2 linked regions of the Alligator mississippiensis genome follow. The protein of the gene in region 2 purifies or fractionates together with the protein of the main gene of each other region. This does not show direct contact. Links are inferred from orthologs where the notes say so. Each region holds a gene or a part of one and is shown on either strand. Other genes may lie near its edges.

What was found.
Region 1: the proteins of SPAST (region 2) and NUP160 purify together in Homo sapiens (affinity purification with mass spectrometry; 3 studies listed by BioGRID and IntAct, with this or other methods). This does not show direct contact. The link is inferred for Alligator mississippiensis from reciprocal best matches to the Homo sapiens genes SPAST and NUP160.

The regions. Positions count from the first base shown.
Region 1 is NC_081825.1:171,294,148-171,301,699, reverse strand, and holds the start of NUP160 (nuclear pore complex protein Nup160), read left to right. Parts: upstream 1-4,505; 5' UTR 4,506-4,541; coding exon 4,542-4,635; intron 4,636-4,717; coding exon 4,718-4,826; intron 4,827-4,929; coding exon 4,930-5,140; intron 5,141-5,908; coding exon 5,909-6,131; intron 6,132-6,762; coding exon 6,763-6,841; intron 6,842-7,552. UniProt on the Homo sapiens protein: Functions as a component of the nuclear pore complex (NPC). Involved in poly(A)+ RNA transport.
Region 2 is NC_081824.1:162,677,629-162,685,265, forward strand, and holds the start of SPAST (spastin), read left to right. Parts: upstream 1-4,613; 5' UTR 4,614-4,750; coding exon 4,751-5,174; intron 5,175-7,637. UniProt on the Homo sapiens protein: ATP-dependent microtubule severing protein that specifically recognizes and cuts microtubules that are polyglutamylated.

The sequences.
Region 1 (7,552 bases), on a different chromosome or scaffold from region 2:
AGACAACTCAAGCAATGTACAACATATCTCAGCCCTGACGTGTCCCCCTGACCCTGCACACCTCCAACCATAGTTCCCACATCCTGCCTCAATCTCCTTTGCTCCTGCCCTAGCCTAATTTCTGCTTCTGAACAGCTGATCCCAGTATCCTGGATTCCTTGACCACAGTTTCTGGATCTTGGTTCTTGCCTTGGCTTCCTTAGTTTCAGAGCCCTAGTTCAATTCCTGACATATTCTTTGGAACCTCCTGACTTGGATGCTGGTTCTGCCTGCTTTACCAGACCACCTGTCTTACAGTTGGGTGGCAGGGCACGTGTGGGGCCTGGGCAGAATGAAAGGGAACCAAAGGGGATGGGCAGCGGGGAACAGGACTTGTGAAGAGAGATCATGAAAGACAGCAAGATGGGGCATGGAAGAGATCGGGTACCCATGAACTCCAGTATGTTGGTCTGAGAAGCATCAGTGCCAATGGTGAGCCATGGTACTTAGTTTGTGTGGAGGCCCTGATGTGATGGGGCTGTGATCTAGCATTGCCAACTGGTCACAGGAAGTGGTTGACCATAAGGCAAGTAGCCTCAAAAGGTGTTGGCCTCAACTTTTTGATCCTTGACTCCCAGCCCTATCAGCTTGAGGGGACCTGAACTTGAGGACCCAATCCTTATTCTTCCCATGCCTTAGGGTTCCTCTCTCCTATGCATCATTTTCCTTCACCATACTATTGGCTCCTCTCTCTCTTTTCCCCTTCTGTTTAATTACATTCTGGCTTTCATAGATTTCATAGACATTAGGGCTGGAAGGGACCTCAGAAGATCGAGTCCAACCCCCTGCCCAAAGGGCAGGAAGTCAGCTGGAGTCATAGGATCCTAGCAAGATAAGCATCCAGTTTGCTCCTGAAGGTGTTCAATGTGGGCGCTTGAACCACCTCCGGTGGCAGGCTGTTCCAGACCTTGGGGGCTCAGACAGTAAAGAAATTCTTCCTTATGTCCAGCCTGAAACGGTCTTGTAGTAGTTTGTGACCATTCGACCTAGAGGACTGCAATTGGGGTAGGTGAGAGTGGAGGGTGGGTCCACAGACACGTTTATTGTAATGGAAATTGTGGGTTTCTTAATGCAGTTTTAAGATGTGTGATGGAAAGTTTATGATAGAGGTATATATATATATATATATATATAACTCTCTCTCTCCCTAGAAATATATTTAAAAAAATAAAGATCCTGGGGGCTCCATGGAGATGGGCTTGGGCCAGTGGGATGGGGCTGCAGGTGGTGGGGAGCAGCGTTGGGGAGTGGGACAGGCGGGGACAGGAGTGCAGGGTGGTGGCAGCGCAGGGCGGTGGCAGCGCAGGGCCAGGCCAAGGTGTCTCTGGCACCCCTGGCCTGTGTAACTCGCTGTTCACTTTACTGCGCAGGCAGAGCTGGGGGCTAAAGCCCGAGGCCTGCTCACTGAGGCGGGATCCACCCAGCTGCAGCTTCTCCCTGCCTGGCCCCAGCTGTGCACTGCCTGCTGTGGTACGGCAGGGGCAGGAGGAGCCAAGCCATCCCTGGGCAGCTGCAGACCTGCTGAAAAGCTGTGCACGCTGCCAGGGGCAGGAGCATGGAAAGGGCTGCCTTGGGCAGGAGCGGGGGCTCAGCCCCAGGCAAAGCACCACAGGGACAGCCACCAGCCAGATATGATCAATTGGCGGGTGCCAGCCTGTGGGCTGGATCCAATCGGTTGGCAGGCTGCAGGCAGTATTTTGCCTACCCCTGCACTAGCACCACATCAGAGCATTGGGAGAGCTCTGTGCTGGATTTGGGCTACCCAGGGGAATTAATATACTAGATCAGCAGTTCTGAACCTTTTTCAGTCAACGTACCCCTTGGTCTCAGAGTGAGACTTCACATACCCCCTTTCAATGGGAAATTAATTTTTATGTCAAACTATGTGTAATCGTGTATTATAAAAATGGCAAGATCCTCATACAACGACTTTTTCATTTTAAACAAACTTTATTCCATGCACAGAAAAAGTGGTGCAAACCCCCCCCCCCCACACACACTTAGCATCAAATGCCAAAACATACCAAAACTTATTAGTGCGAACCCTGCTGCTGCTGCTTACTATCAACCAACATTTTAATTCTAGGCGATGTTATCTCACATACCCCCGGTTCAGAACCGCTGTACTAGATTATAAGGAAAGCAGCTTCTACTCCGGGCTACAGTTAAATACATGCTTTATGCTTTCTTGAATCATGGCTTATGCCTCTGCTTTAAAATCATGCACTGGTAGGGTTTTTTCCGGACATTGTCATGTTGCTGGAGGAATTTACTTAGCAAACTACTACTGCAGCTTTCAGTCACTGCTCTGTGACTTTCCTAAGTTCAGTAACTCATTGGAAAATTCATGTCATGCTTGTCTGCTATAACCCCCAACTGCCCTGCCCTTAAATAGTAACAGGAACATTAAAAATCCTTCTGATGCAGCTAGAGTTGGAAGCACATTTTGTCCCTGCTTTATTTGTATTCTGGGCCTATGACATGCGATCTGTTGCAGTGGAAGCTGGGATTTAATTTTGATTGTCAGGTAGCAAGGAAAAAAAACCCCTCTTCCTTTCAGCATTTTCCATTATTTGCCACCACCAAGTAGTGAAGCACTTTCCATGATAAGTGCATGCTTCACGACCCCAGGCAAAGAAAGAAATGATGTACCCATTTAGCTACAGCATGGTGTCTGGACTGTAATCTTTCTCAAATGCTTCTGTGTTGAAAAATATAACTTGATGATTGACAGTGGCCCCATACTGCAGATTTGATCCAAGAAAAGTTACAATGTTTAGCTATCTGCAGCTACAAAGCCAAAGACCCTGTAGCCATGCTGGTTTATGCAGCCAAGAACCTGCCCAAGGGCTTTTATGAGGGTGAAGTTGGTACATTATTTCTAGTTTCCAGTTTGTCATTCCCCATTCCAATGTCAGAGTTTCTCTTCCCGTGATTATAAATTTGTTAGCAATAAAAAAATCATGGCAGAGCTCTGTATTTCATTAACTATGTATATTGGCTAAAGGACTGTAATATAATATCACATATCAAGAACATTGTGCTGAATAAGGGGCCAAGTTTGTTTGGCATTACAGGGTAAAATCCATCTTGGGTCACTCCAAAAAACACAACTCCACCATTAGGGTACTCTCCAGAAGAAGGCTGTGCAGGGCCCTACCTGACCCAAAGCTTGATTTCTAAGCGGCCTGGTGTTGACTGACAGCCCCCCGGGCCTGACTACCGCGAAAGGGGCCGCAAGCAGGCCCTCAAAGGCTGGAACTGTGCCAGCCTGCATGGGAAAAGCCATGGTCGCCCACAGGAAAATGGAGAATCCATTTTTAAAGTTTGCTCATGACTGTTTCATATATTCTTGTGACCCACTTCTGGGTCATGATGACACACCCACAGGTTGAGAAACGCTGATGTAGCCCAACCCCTTGCCTCAGGCAGGATCATTCCTATCTAAACCATCCTGTACAAATCCATAACGTAACCTCTTAGTAAAACCACTCGGTCAACAGTGACACAGAGCGGATTGAACACCCTAACCTGCACAGGTAATGCTGGGGGGAGGGGCGGGGGCACAGCAGTCAACATCCTGCTCTTGCAAAAGGTTGTTAATATTTGCTTAAGAGTTTCACAACAGAGGAAGCTTGCTCTGAGGGCTTTATGGCTGAGGGCGAGCAAAACTCAGGGGCATCCAAACCCCAAGCCTGCAAGTAGGATGCCCGCCAAAGGTTTTGGAAACATGTGAAGCCCAGGCAGATGGGGTGGAGGATGTTTGCCAGTAGATGTATTCACTGACTGCCTGTCTTGCACGAAGACCAGCCCAGCCTGGCTTCTTTACTGTTCATTCCAGGCAGGAAGAGCACATGCCCACTGCTGAAACTTCCTCAGCCTGACAAAGGGTTTTTAAACCCAAAAGCTTGCTAAAATAAAACTCCCAACTATTTAAGTTGGTCTAATAAAAGACAGATTCACCCCAAGAACCTTGTCTGCCCGCGTCCTTACACCAACATGGCTACAACCTACACCCCTGCCGGTAGCAGGGCCACTTAAGGTGCTGGACTCCTCGATTTGGAATTGGTTTGGGCTAATTTGGCCTCGGATGCAAATCTAATAAAAATAAATACATTAATAATAATTTAAAAACAACTAGAGGAAAGCAACCCCCGCCCAGGCCACACCAATCGGACCAGGAACAGACGAACAAGACCCCGTAGCAGGGCCCACCTCAGTCAACATGCCCCCGGGGCCTCTGAGAAGAGCGCAAACCCCCCCTTAAAACCTTCAGACAAGTCGGCGGGGGTGGAGCAGACACCCGTCCTGGCCCCGCGCCACAACCAGCGGAGACGGGAAACGAGGAACTCGCCTCGTCCTGCCCCTAGGACGCCATACTGCCCGGGCGCGGCGGGGCCTCCCGCTGATGACGCGGCAGCGGGATCCGCCCCCGTCCCGTGAGCCCCCGCGGCCGGGCCGGACCCGTGGTGCCGCGCGGCGGCGAAGCGCGCGAAGGGAAGATGGCGGCGCTGCCGGAGCGGAGCTTCATGGAGCTGAGCGCTGCCGCGCGGGGCCCGCAGCGCCGGGCGCGGGAGGTCGTGTTCAGCCCGCCAGGTACCGCCCGCGGGCCCCGCGCCCCCGCGCCCGGCCCCGCTCCGGCTCCCCGCTAATCCCGGCCCCCTCCGGCTCCCCACAGGTGCCAGCACCAGCCCGGGCGCGGCGCGGCTCGGGGACAGCGCCGGCGGCTTCTGCTACCGGGAGAGCGCGCAGCTGGTTTCGGCCACCAGGAACCGCTTCATCCACTGGTGAGGGCGGGGCGGGGCGGGGGTCCGCTGCCCTGGGCAGAGGCCGCGCGGGGGCTGGGGGGACCTGGTCGCCGGGTGTGAACAGGCTGCGCTGCCCCTGCAGGAGCACGGCTGGGGACACGGTGGAGCTGGTGGAGGAGTCCCTGGATGTGAACCTGCTGAACAATGCCGTGCGGCTCCGGATCCAGAACTGCCTCCTGCTGCCTGGAGGGGTCCACCTCTGCGAGGTGCAGAACCACCTCGTCCTCCTGATCGTCACCAACCAGACCGTGCACAGGCTGGTGTTGCCCCACCCTGCCCGCATGTACAGGAGTGTAAGTTGCCTCTCAGCTTTTTCCTTCACCAGCCCCGGTGATGAGAATTGGGCTGCCCAAGTTCAGCTGCCCAGAGTAGGGGCAAGGGACCTAGACAGGCATGACAGGAAACTGTCTCCTGTGGGGTGGTCACAGCTAGATGTATCGCTTGGCTTACAAAGTAGGAAGCGCTCTTGTTTGCATGGGCAGGAAGGTGTGGCTTGGTGCAAATTTCCTGTGGGAAAAGTCATTAGGTTAATGTTTTTTCTCAGTATCCTTCCTGAGGTGTTGCGATCTCCACTCCCTTTGGGTCACTTGTTCCGTCTCTACATTTGCAGGATCAGGCCAGCAGACCACCACCTTAGCTCCAGGCTGTTTCATAGAAATTTAACTCATGGCACTTGCTAAGAATGAGCTGTTTAGACTTGAAGCAGGTATTGAGCGAAACACTGGTGCAGGTGTGGACACTGCCACTGGGATGTTAGCAGGTACGGGAGGGAGGGAGGGAGAGAGAGAGTAGGATCTAAGTTCCTGTGTTTTGGCAGCTCTCAGTTCTACCTACCCTTTGAAACTCACCCTTAAATAGCCTAGCTTTGCTGGTTAAATAAGGTAGAGAGACACAGGTTTGAATTTAGCTGATTTTCATTGGAAAGAACTAATTTCACAAAGCAGGAGCTAGTAGTTTTTTAAAGGTATTTGTCATTCCACGGACAAATCCAGTTTTACATTTTTCTAACCGCTCTTTGTGCTTTTGCAGTCTGGAGTCTTTGTTTTTATTTTATTTAACAGGAGCTGATCACAGAGAGCCAGATGCAGTCTGTATTTACAGATATTGGGAAGGTTAACTTTAGAGACCTGTCAAGCTACCACATGATCCCCAACATCCCTGGACTGGCATCTAATTCCACAGCCTCAGCTGCTTGGCTTAGCAGTGATGGGGAGGCTCTCTTTGCTCTGCCCTCTGCTTCAGGAGGAATTTTTATCCTTAGATTGCCACCTCATGATGTGCATGGTAAGAACTTAGAGCAGAGCATGTCCTGTCCTGCCACTTTGTATTTGTGTAGAATGTGTCATGGAAGAAAAGTCTCTAATCCATGGAAAGCAGCCTGTAGCCAAATGTAAGGGCCATCGTCAGTTGCTCTTTATAACACAATGTAGCCAGCATATCCCAGTCATGACAGTGCCTGTCTATGATATAAGAAGCAAGGTGGCTAAGTTCTAGCCTGCAGTTCCAATGGGGGAGCACTTTGAGGGGGCTCAGTGTGGGCAGGCTTTAATGTAAATAATACTTGTAAATAGTTCCAAGTAGGACATTTGGATGCCCCTTCTCACCTTGGGAGCAGATAGCAGTCTAGGCCTGATAGCAGAGAGTCCTGAGGAAGATCTTTTCCCCTTTTTCTCTGAAAAGGGCCAGCCTGAGCTTTTCCCCTTCCCCTCTGAAAAGGGCCAGGCTGATCTCTTCATCTTCCATGACACTTCCTATTTTGGTTTTCGATTTCAGCTGCCATTGACTCTCTTTTTAGTAACTGTAACAAAAATGAATGCTAAATGAGGCAAGTTGCATCTTGTATTAGTGACAGTGAACTATTGCATCAACAGCACACATCCCCTATACGCAGAGCTTAACACTTCTGTTTTTCTAGGAATGGTTTCTGTTGTGGAGCTGAAGCAGAGCTCAGTGATGCAGCGTTTGCTGACAGGCTGGATGCCAACTGCTATCAGGTTAGTGTTGTCTGGTGCCAAATAAGTGGGGCTTCCACTTTTTGCAGGGAGTCTTAAGATGGCTTCAGAGATAGACAAGTGCAGGGAAGGTGATAATGCAATTATATAGTGCTTGTTTTTGGTTACACAGATCACAGTACATGACTGCACCTAGGAGTGAATATATATAGTTAATTTTACAGCACTACCTCTGGATCTATATGTTTGTGGTTTTGATTAATATGTAAGTGGTTTAGCTGCACTGCATCTGGGAGGTGACGGCAGGTGGGGAGAACTGGTGGCTGCTCCCCACCAGCTGGAAGCTGCACCTGTGCCACAACAGAGCAGCGGGAGACTGGGAGAAATGGCAGTGGCACAGGTTCAGCTACCTCTCCCCCGTGCAGGTTGTTCTGGCCTGTGCTGGGAGGAGGCTACGGGAGGGGCTACAGCAACACCCCCCTCCCCCCCCCCCCCCCCCCCAATTTTGTCATAGCCCTCCCTGTCAGTGCCGCTGCTGCCTACCTGTTGCAGCCCCAGCTCTTTCCAGCATGTGGGTGGAGGGGGTTGAGCCGGGGCTACACTGGGTGGGTGGTGGCAGCACTCGGAGGGGTGGTTGAGGGAGTTGTGGTGAAATTTGGGGTGGCTTCTGCCCCCCATAGGCCCCTCTCAGCACTGTGGCTGCCTGTCCTGAGCCCAGCCCCTGCTGAGAGGAGCCTGTCGCAGCCTTGGCTC
Region 2 (7,637 bases):
CAGACGTCAGCTGCGCCTGCGCAGAGTTGGACACGCCCCCTCGGCGGCTCCCGCGGTCCCGGCCCGCCACGTGGGGGCGGGGCTGCGGGGGCGGCGCGCGCTCCTGGGGAGCCGCAGCAGGGTCCGAGTGCCGTCCTGCCTAGGGGAGCCTCAGGCTTGATTAGTGCTATAGACGTGGCCCCAAGGCCTCACCTGGCTGGCATTGCCCTCGCAGGACTCTCCCGTGTGGGGAACAGCGCGCTGAGGGGGAGATGCTAGAGGTCAGGAAGGTTTTGATCCGAGGGGTTCACCCCCATGACCTGGCTCTCAGCTGTTACACAGGGTTTGGGGATGTAGCTACAGAGGATGATGGACAAATCAATTGCCATAGCTCTCCTGCTGCCAAATTTCTTGACTTGTGAGGAGCCCAATGAGCAGGATGCCATGGCTCTGCAGGCTGCATTTGGCCCACCAGAGGTTGAGCACCATATCTGGTCCAATGCTCTCCCTCTATAGCATCCATTTTTCCCCCTGTTGGAGACAGGGTACTGGGATAGATGGACTATTGGTGTGAGCCAATGTCTTGTGTTCTTAAGTATTGCTGGTGATGCTGCCTGGGCTGGGGAGGCAGGGAGCAGGGCAGGGTGGCACTTTACATGCTGACTGGCTCAGAGAGGGATAAGCTTCTATAGGTAACCTCAGATGTTGCAAAGAGATCATATAAGTGCCAGGGGCCACAGTGACTTCTTGGGGCCATGCAAGTTGGAAAAAATGTATTATTTTCTTGAATGTGGAGCAAAACTAACATGGAAATCTATGTAATGCAGCACATCCAGAAGCCAGCAATGCTCTGCATTGTACCCAACCAAGGCAGCACTCAGGGTGGAACTGCACTTCAGCTACAAACATTGTCACTTAATTTAATTTAATACTCTTCCTCGTTTTACAGTCATTTTCTGGGATCCTGATGTGAAACCTTGGGATCTCTATGGAGGAAGTGATGAATATTCAGTTATGAATGAAACCAGAACGATGATTTGAACAAACACTGCTTTAAAATTATAAACTCTCTTGAAAGAGTCAGGGCTTAGGCATTTCAAAATTAGGAGACATTTTTGGTTTGAATCTTCATGTGCCTCCATTCCACATCTGTAAATGGGATAATAATACCCCATCATTTCCAAGGGGACACTAATTAATGTTTGTAGTACTCAGATCCTATGGTGAGGGCACCACAGAAAATCCCCTGAGGAAATTAATAATTCTCTGCTCAGAACAGGTTTGAATGGTGCAAATAAAGCATGGGTTTAAAAAATATCAGATTTAAAAATGATGAAACAAAATATTGAAAAGCTGGTTATTCAGTAAGCTCTGTTTTGTGCACTGGATAGGGTAAGGATCTTATGGATAAAGAAGTGCATGGTTCAGAACTTAAATACACAGCACATGCATGAAGGGGACTGCAGCAGGATTGCACAAGAAGTTGCTTCCTCAATTTTCTAACATGCATCCCTTGGCAATCTTAATATCTGTTAAAAGTTTTGATGCAAGATTTCTTTGCTGATTATATTACAGAATCAACTAGAGATCACAATTAAGGATTGAATCCCCTATGCATCACCAGAAATCCAAATAAAAAATCTTGTTTTCAGAGAACTGTTAATCTGCATTTCAAACAGGATGCAATGCAGACATATGAATTGGGGGCGGTTGGAAGGATGAGGTAAGAAATGAAAGGATTTTAACAGCCAAGAAGAACTGGTATCTATTTTGGCACAGGTAGGTTTTGAGGAGGGATTTGAAAGAGGATTGGGTGGTTAATCTGAATCTTGATAAGTTTCTGTCATGCATTTGGGAAAGCTTGGAGGAAAACTGGGAGGTATTTGAGGGGAAGCGAACGGACAGATGATTGAAAGAGGCACACAGGGTGATGTTTTGAGGATGTTTCAGGCCATTAATACGGGATGTTGAAATATCTCTAATGCCCATCTGGCCCATGGGGCACAAAGGTTGTGAGTGCCCCTGCTCTAAGCGACCAGGGGCTCCATGGTTTGGAGGTTGCATCAGCAGAGACTGCATGTCTGCAGGCTGCACCAGAGAAAGCCACAGGCCTCCTGGACTATATGACACACATTTTTTTTTTTTAATTTCATGTTTCAGGCCAAATTAGCCAAATCAGTTCTGAATTCTATTGACTGAGCAGAACTCAATCATTCAAGTTTGTATGGCACTACCACTGGCAAGTATCCTGTTGCAGCTAGTGTGATGTGGAGAAAGACGGCTGGGCAGGAGGTGGGGGCCACACTCTAAGCCCCTCACAGGCCACCAGTTGGACAGCCTTCACGTAATCAGGGAAGGCCTGTACAAGCAATGAAACAAAAAATACAGGAAAGGGGTAACTGAGCTAAGACTACTGAGAAAGCAGAAGAGAAATCCTTATGTAAATCAGGGAAGAAACCACAGAACTTGGACAAGCAAACATTTTGGGAACAGGAGGCTCAACAACTACAGGAGGCATCAAGAAAACTACCAAAGAAAAAATACAAAAAGGTGAATCTGCATGGAAGCACCATTGGCAAATGATATAAGTGGTAAAAAAAAAAGGAAACGTCTACGGTGACTTGACAACAAATGCTAAAGAAGCATAAAAAGTAAGGAATGAGCATGTAACAAATCATTAAGCCTTGCAGTTCACCCAGATGAAAGCATTCTAGACATGTTAGATGAACACAACTGGAAAAGTAGAATCGTTATCAACTCTGAACTACCATAAAAAGCAGAGACAGAATAGTGGAGAAATAGGAAACCTGGAGACGCCGGTGCCAACAAAGCTTTACAAAAATATTCAGAAAGGTGTGTGAACTAGAGTAGGTACCAGATAACTGGCTAAGGGAAGTAGTTTTAGCAATCATTAAGAAAGCAGGTTTGATCAGATAATTTATAGGACTATAAACCTACCATCTATATTGGCAAAAGTCATGATGAAGGAATTTGTCTACAGATCATAGTTTGTGTTAGAGATTAAGTGGATGAAGAACAGTGCAACTCCAGACCCAATCAAGGCTGCATGTCACACTCAGATGGAAGAGGAATTGAGAATGGAGATTACAGATATCTGTTTTTATTAGCTTGATCAAAGCTTTGGAGAAAAGCATGATGGAGAGCAGCAACATCTCATAGTATTTCAGGTCAGCAAATTTCAAAATTATAACATCAAAGTACTAATCCCCCTACAGTGTCATCAAAACTTCTGGAAAATAAAGCAACAGTTTCAAAGTCAAAATTTGCTCTAAGAAAGGGGGCATAAAATAAGCAGTGCTTTATTTCATTCTTGTAAACCAAACATTGATAATGTTAGATGAGCTGAAGGGCATAACAGTAGATGACCTAGAATTCAGGTGTTTAGCGTATGAGGAGATAGCATTGTCCAGCTAACTATGTCTTAGACAGAAATAAATGTCAACACTATTCTGCTCCCCAGGTCAGCAGAGATATTCCAAAGTGAAATGAAGAAAAGCAGAACACCACCCCTGAGGCATGGGTAACCAGTTAATAAGAAGCATTCCTATCTGAACTGGGCAAAGCAGCACTTTAAATAGGTGCACACACTTGGTTTATGACAAGGACCAGTGGAGAAGACATCCCTTTGTTCATGGGAATGAAAGAAAAAAGGGGCAATGTTGGAATCCAACAGTAAAATGAGGGTTAAGTATGACTCCCACTGTGAACAGTTTTCAGACACACTTTTGGCAGCTTGAGAGGAGAAAACTAAAAGGTGACCCTCTTAAAGCCATTGTGAATTCTCTATATGAGGTCTATAAGGAAACTGGAATGCATTGGGCCCAGAAACAGGCAGGGGTGGTTGGGATGTGGGTCTACCAGGAAAGTGGGTAATGCCAGGAATCCTAGTTTTCTCTGCTAAAAAACAATTCCCCAATTGTTAGATTTAAAACATCCCCCTAAAATCCACATTTTTCCATGATTAAAATGAAGCAGCACTATATATCCATTTCTAGATTAGTGGTGTTTCATTTTAATCACAGAAAAATGTGGATTTGGGTTTTTTTTAATCTGAAAATTGGGGATTTTATTTTTTTTATCACAGAAAACCGAGATCCCTGAGCTTGACTGTATCTCCCCCCTCAGGCTCAGCCTGCTGTTCTCAGCACTAAGCGCTTTCGAGGCTGCTCTAGCCATCCGCCCGCCACGAGACCCGGGCTAAGAACGCCCCTCGGGCCAGGACAGGCTCTGCGCGCAGGGATCAGCCTGGCCCCGCCCCCTGCGGGCTTGGGGCGCGGCCTGACCCCCGAGCGCACCGGGGCGGGGGAGTTGCTGTATTGTGCCGGCGCAGTCCCGTGCAGGGCGGGGGCGGGGCTGTCCTGGGTTCTGCCCATGGCGGGGGAGGAGCGCAGTGACTACATTTCCCAGCATGCAGCGTCCCCCGCCTGCATGTAGGACGCTTCCCTTTCCCAGGATGCACCGCTTCCCTGAGCGACTGCCGCCCCTCTGACGGACTACACCCCCCGGCGTGCCCCGCGGCCGGCCGGTCCCTCCCTGCTCCGCGCCGCGGCTCGCGCGGTGCCTGCCGGGAGCTGTAGTCGGGCGCCCACCTGCGGCGCCCGCCACACCCGGCATTGTGGCCGCACGGCTGAGCGTGGCGGCGACAGCCGGCGCCGCGGCGCGCAGCGCTGTTCAGGAACGGGCGCTGCGCACTTGGCGCCGGGCCGCCGCCATGGCCGGGGCTGGCGGCGGGTGGCGGCGACGGCGGTGAATGAATTCTCCGGGCGGCAGAGGCAGGAAGAAGGGCTCGGGCGGTTCCAGCTCCCCGCCCCGCGCCGCCGCGGCCTCGCCCCCAGTCGCGCCCGGGCCGGCAGCCCCCCTCCCGCCGGCGGCCTGCGCCGGGTCCAGCGCGGGGGCGGGGGCGGGCGCGGGGGCGGGGGCGCCGCCGCCGTCGCCGCACAAGCGGAACGTGTACTACTTCTCCTACCCGCTCGTCGCCGCCTTCGCGCTGCTGCGCTTCGCCGCCTGCCGCCTGGGGCTGCTGTGCGCCTGGCTCTGCCGCCGCATCGCGCTCATGGCCGCCCGCGGCGCCCCGGCCAGCGAGCCCGGCGGGGCGCCCGACACCGTGCGCGCCTGCCACAAGCGCGCCTTCGACTGCATCTCCGCCGCGCTGCGCATCGACGAGGAGGAGCGCGGTGAGCGCCGGGGCGGGGAGGGTGGCTGTGGCGGGGCTCGGCTCGGCTCGGCTCCTGGGGACACGGGTCCGGGCCGCCGCTTCCAGCCCCGCGGGCTCCTCCCTCCCTTCCCCTGCTCGTTTCAGTTTACATAGATTTATTATCTAATTAGTTTATACTGGCTTATCTTTCTATATTATGATGGCTTTATATTTAGCTATTATTTATTTGTTTATACTTATTATTGATATATATATATATATATATATATATATATATATATATGATGGCTTTATATTTATTCATGCTTAAATATCAATTTGCTATATATTTGTTTATATCTATTCTTATACATATTATGTGTTTGTGTGTATTTATACTTGTGTATTTTATTATATATTTGTTTATATTTATACTTATTATTTACATATAATATAAACACCAAGTATAAATAAACAAGTACACAATGTGTTTACATTGATACTTTATTATATAGTACTATATTAGTAATATAGTACTATATTATATTATTTTATATTGATACGTGTTTTGACATTATATTATGTGCTTGTGTTTATACTTGCATATTTGCTCAATATGTAAACAATAAGTATAAATGTATATAAGATAAACACCAAGTATAAATAAACACATACATAATGCATTTATGTTGATACTTATTATATTGTAGTATATTATTTTATATTAATAACTAGTATTATAGTACTATGTTAGTGATAAAGCACTATATTATTTTATATTAGCGATATAGTACTATATTATTTCATATTTATACTTATTTAGACATTATATTATGTGCTTGTCTTTATACTTGCATATTTGTTTAATATGTAAATACTAAGTATAAACAAATACATAATGTGTTTATGTTGATACTTGCATTGTATTATATTATTTTATATTAGTAATATAGTATTATATTATTTTATATTTATACTTATTTAGACACGTGCTTGTGTCTGTACTTGCATATTTGTTTATATTTATACCTATTTATATATGTTACGTGTTTATGTTTAGATACTGTATTCTAATGTGTTTGTGTTTATTTATATTTAGCATTTATACATTATATTAGGTTGTGTTTATATTTACCATTTATATCTTTATATAAAATTTATTCTGACTCTCCTTTTAATTTGCTCTCATTTTGTCACAAGCGCTGGAGTTTTTAATAGCACATCTCCAGCTTTTAACTGGCAGCTCCTCCAAGTGTGGGCGCTCTCAGGTTAAACGCACTCCTCCCTAGCTAGAGGGGCAGGAACTATATGAGTAATGTGAATGTTGAAGAGTTTGCGTTGACAGCTGGCCTGTACAGTGTGGGAGCAACATTTTTCCTAGAAGAAGGAATGGTTTCATTTTGTATATGTAGCTACTGTTAATGGTCTTATGTAACACCTGCATTTTTAATGTTTTGGTGTTAAACTGGAAGCAAATTAGAACTGCTATTGCAAGTCTTCATTCCTGTTCTAGTCTGCCCTCTTTCCTATTGTATCATTTATTTTTTTCATTGTATGAAACTAATCAAACAGGAAATTGTTGTCATGCTGCTGTTTTCCTTTGAAACTGATGCAGGGGCACACTCCGCTTATTTAAAAGAGGAAAGTTTGGTCAGTGGTCAGTGAAATGTTGGGGTGAGGGACAGCAAAGAATTTTCTTCAGCCTTCTTTTATTCCACTTGTTGTTTTGAATTCCACACAAGGTTTCAGAAGCTGTTCCCAATGTATTAGACTCAGCCCAGCAGTCTACATGTAGCAGGACAGCCCTAGTTGTGTTCAAAAGGTGGGGGGGTCCTCTGAGACATGGCTTTGTGCTAGGCTTTAAAATTCTGTGGAAACATCAGCATGACTTTGAGCGTCTGCTTTGTAATACTGTAGTTTCTTTCATTAGAGCTCCTTGGGAAGAACATGGCAGTATTTTCCTTTTCTGGAAATCAGAATAGGGACAACATGCTCAGTGCATCATGAAAGGGACACAGTTATTCTGTATAGCAACAGCTTGTGAGTGGCAGTGATGCAGCTTTATTAATCTGAAAGAGATATTTGTATGATGCAGAACCTGTGACGGTTCAGGGACCAAAACAGAGGGCAAAGAAACTTGAGACTCTAGGTCAGGGGTGGGCAAAATGCAACCTGAGGGCTGGATGCAGCCCACCAGGCCATTCTATCTGGCCTGCAGGGCCCCTGAAAAATTTAAAAAATTAATATTAATCTGCTGTAGGCTGCCTGTCATGTGGCCTTCAATGGCTTGCCGAAAGTTAGTAAGTGGCCCTCTGACCAAAATAATTGCCCGCCCCTGCTCTAGGTGGCTTATTATATTTATGATGATAAGAAGTGTTTGCAGTTTTTAAAGCATAGATAAATCTTCATTTGGCTGGTATTCTAGCTTGTAGTAACAAACAGATACTAACTGCGTAACACCTTTACTCTTAACATTTTGGTGTTAAACTGAAAGCAAATTAGA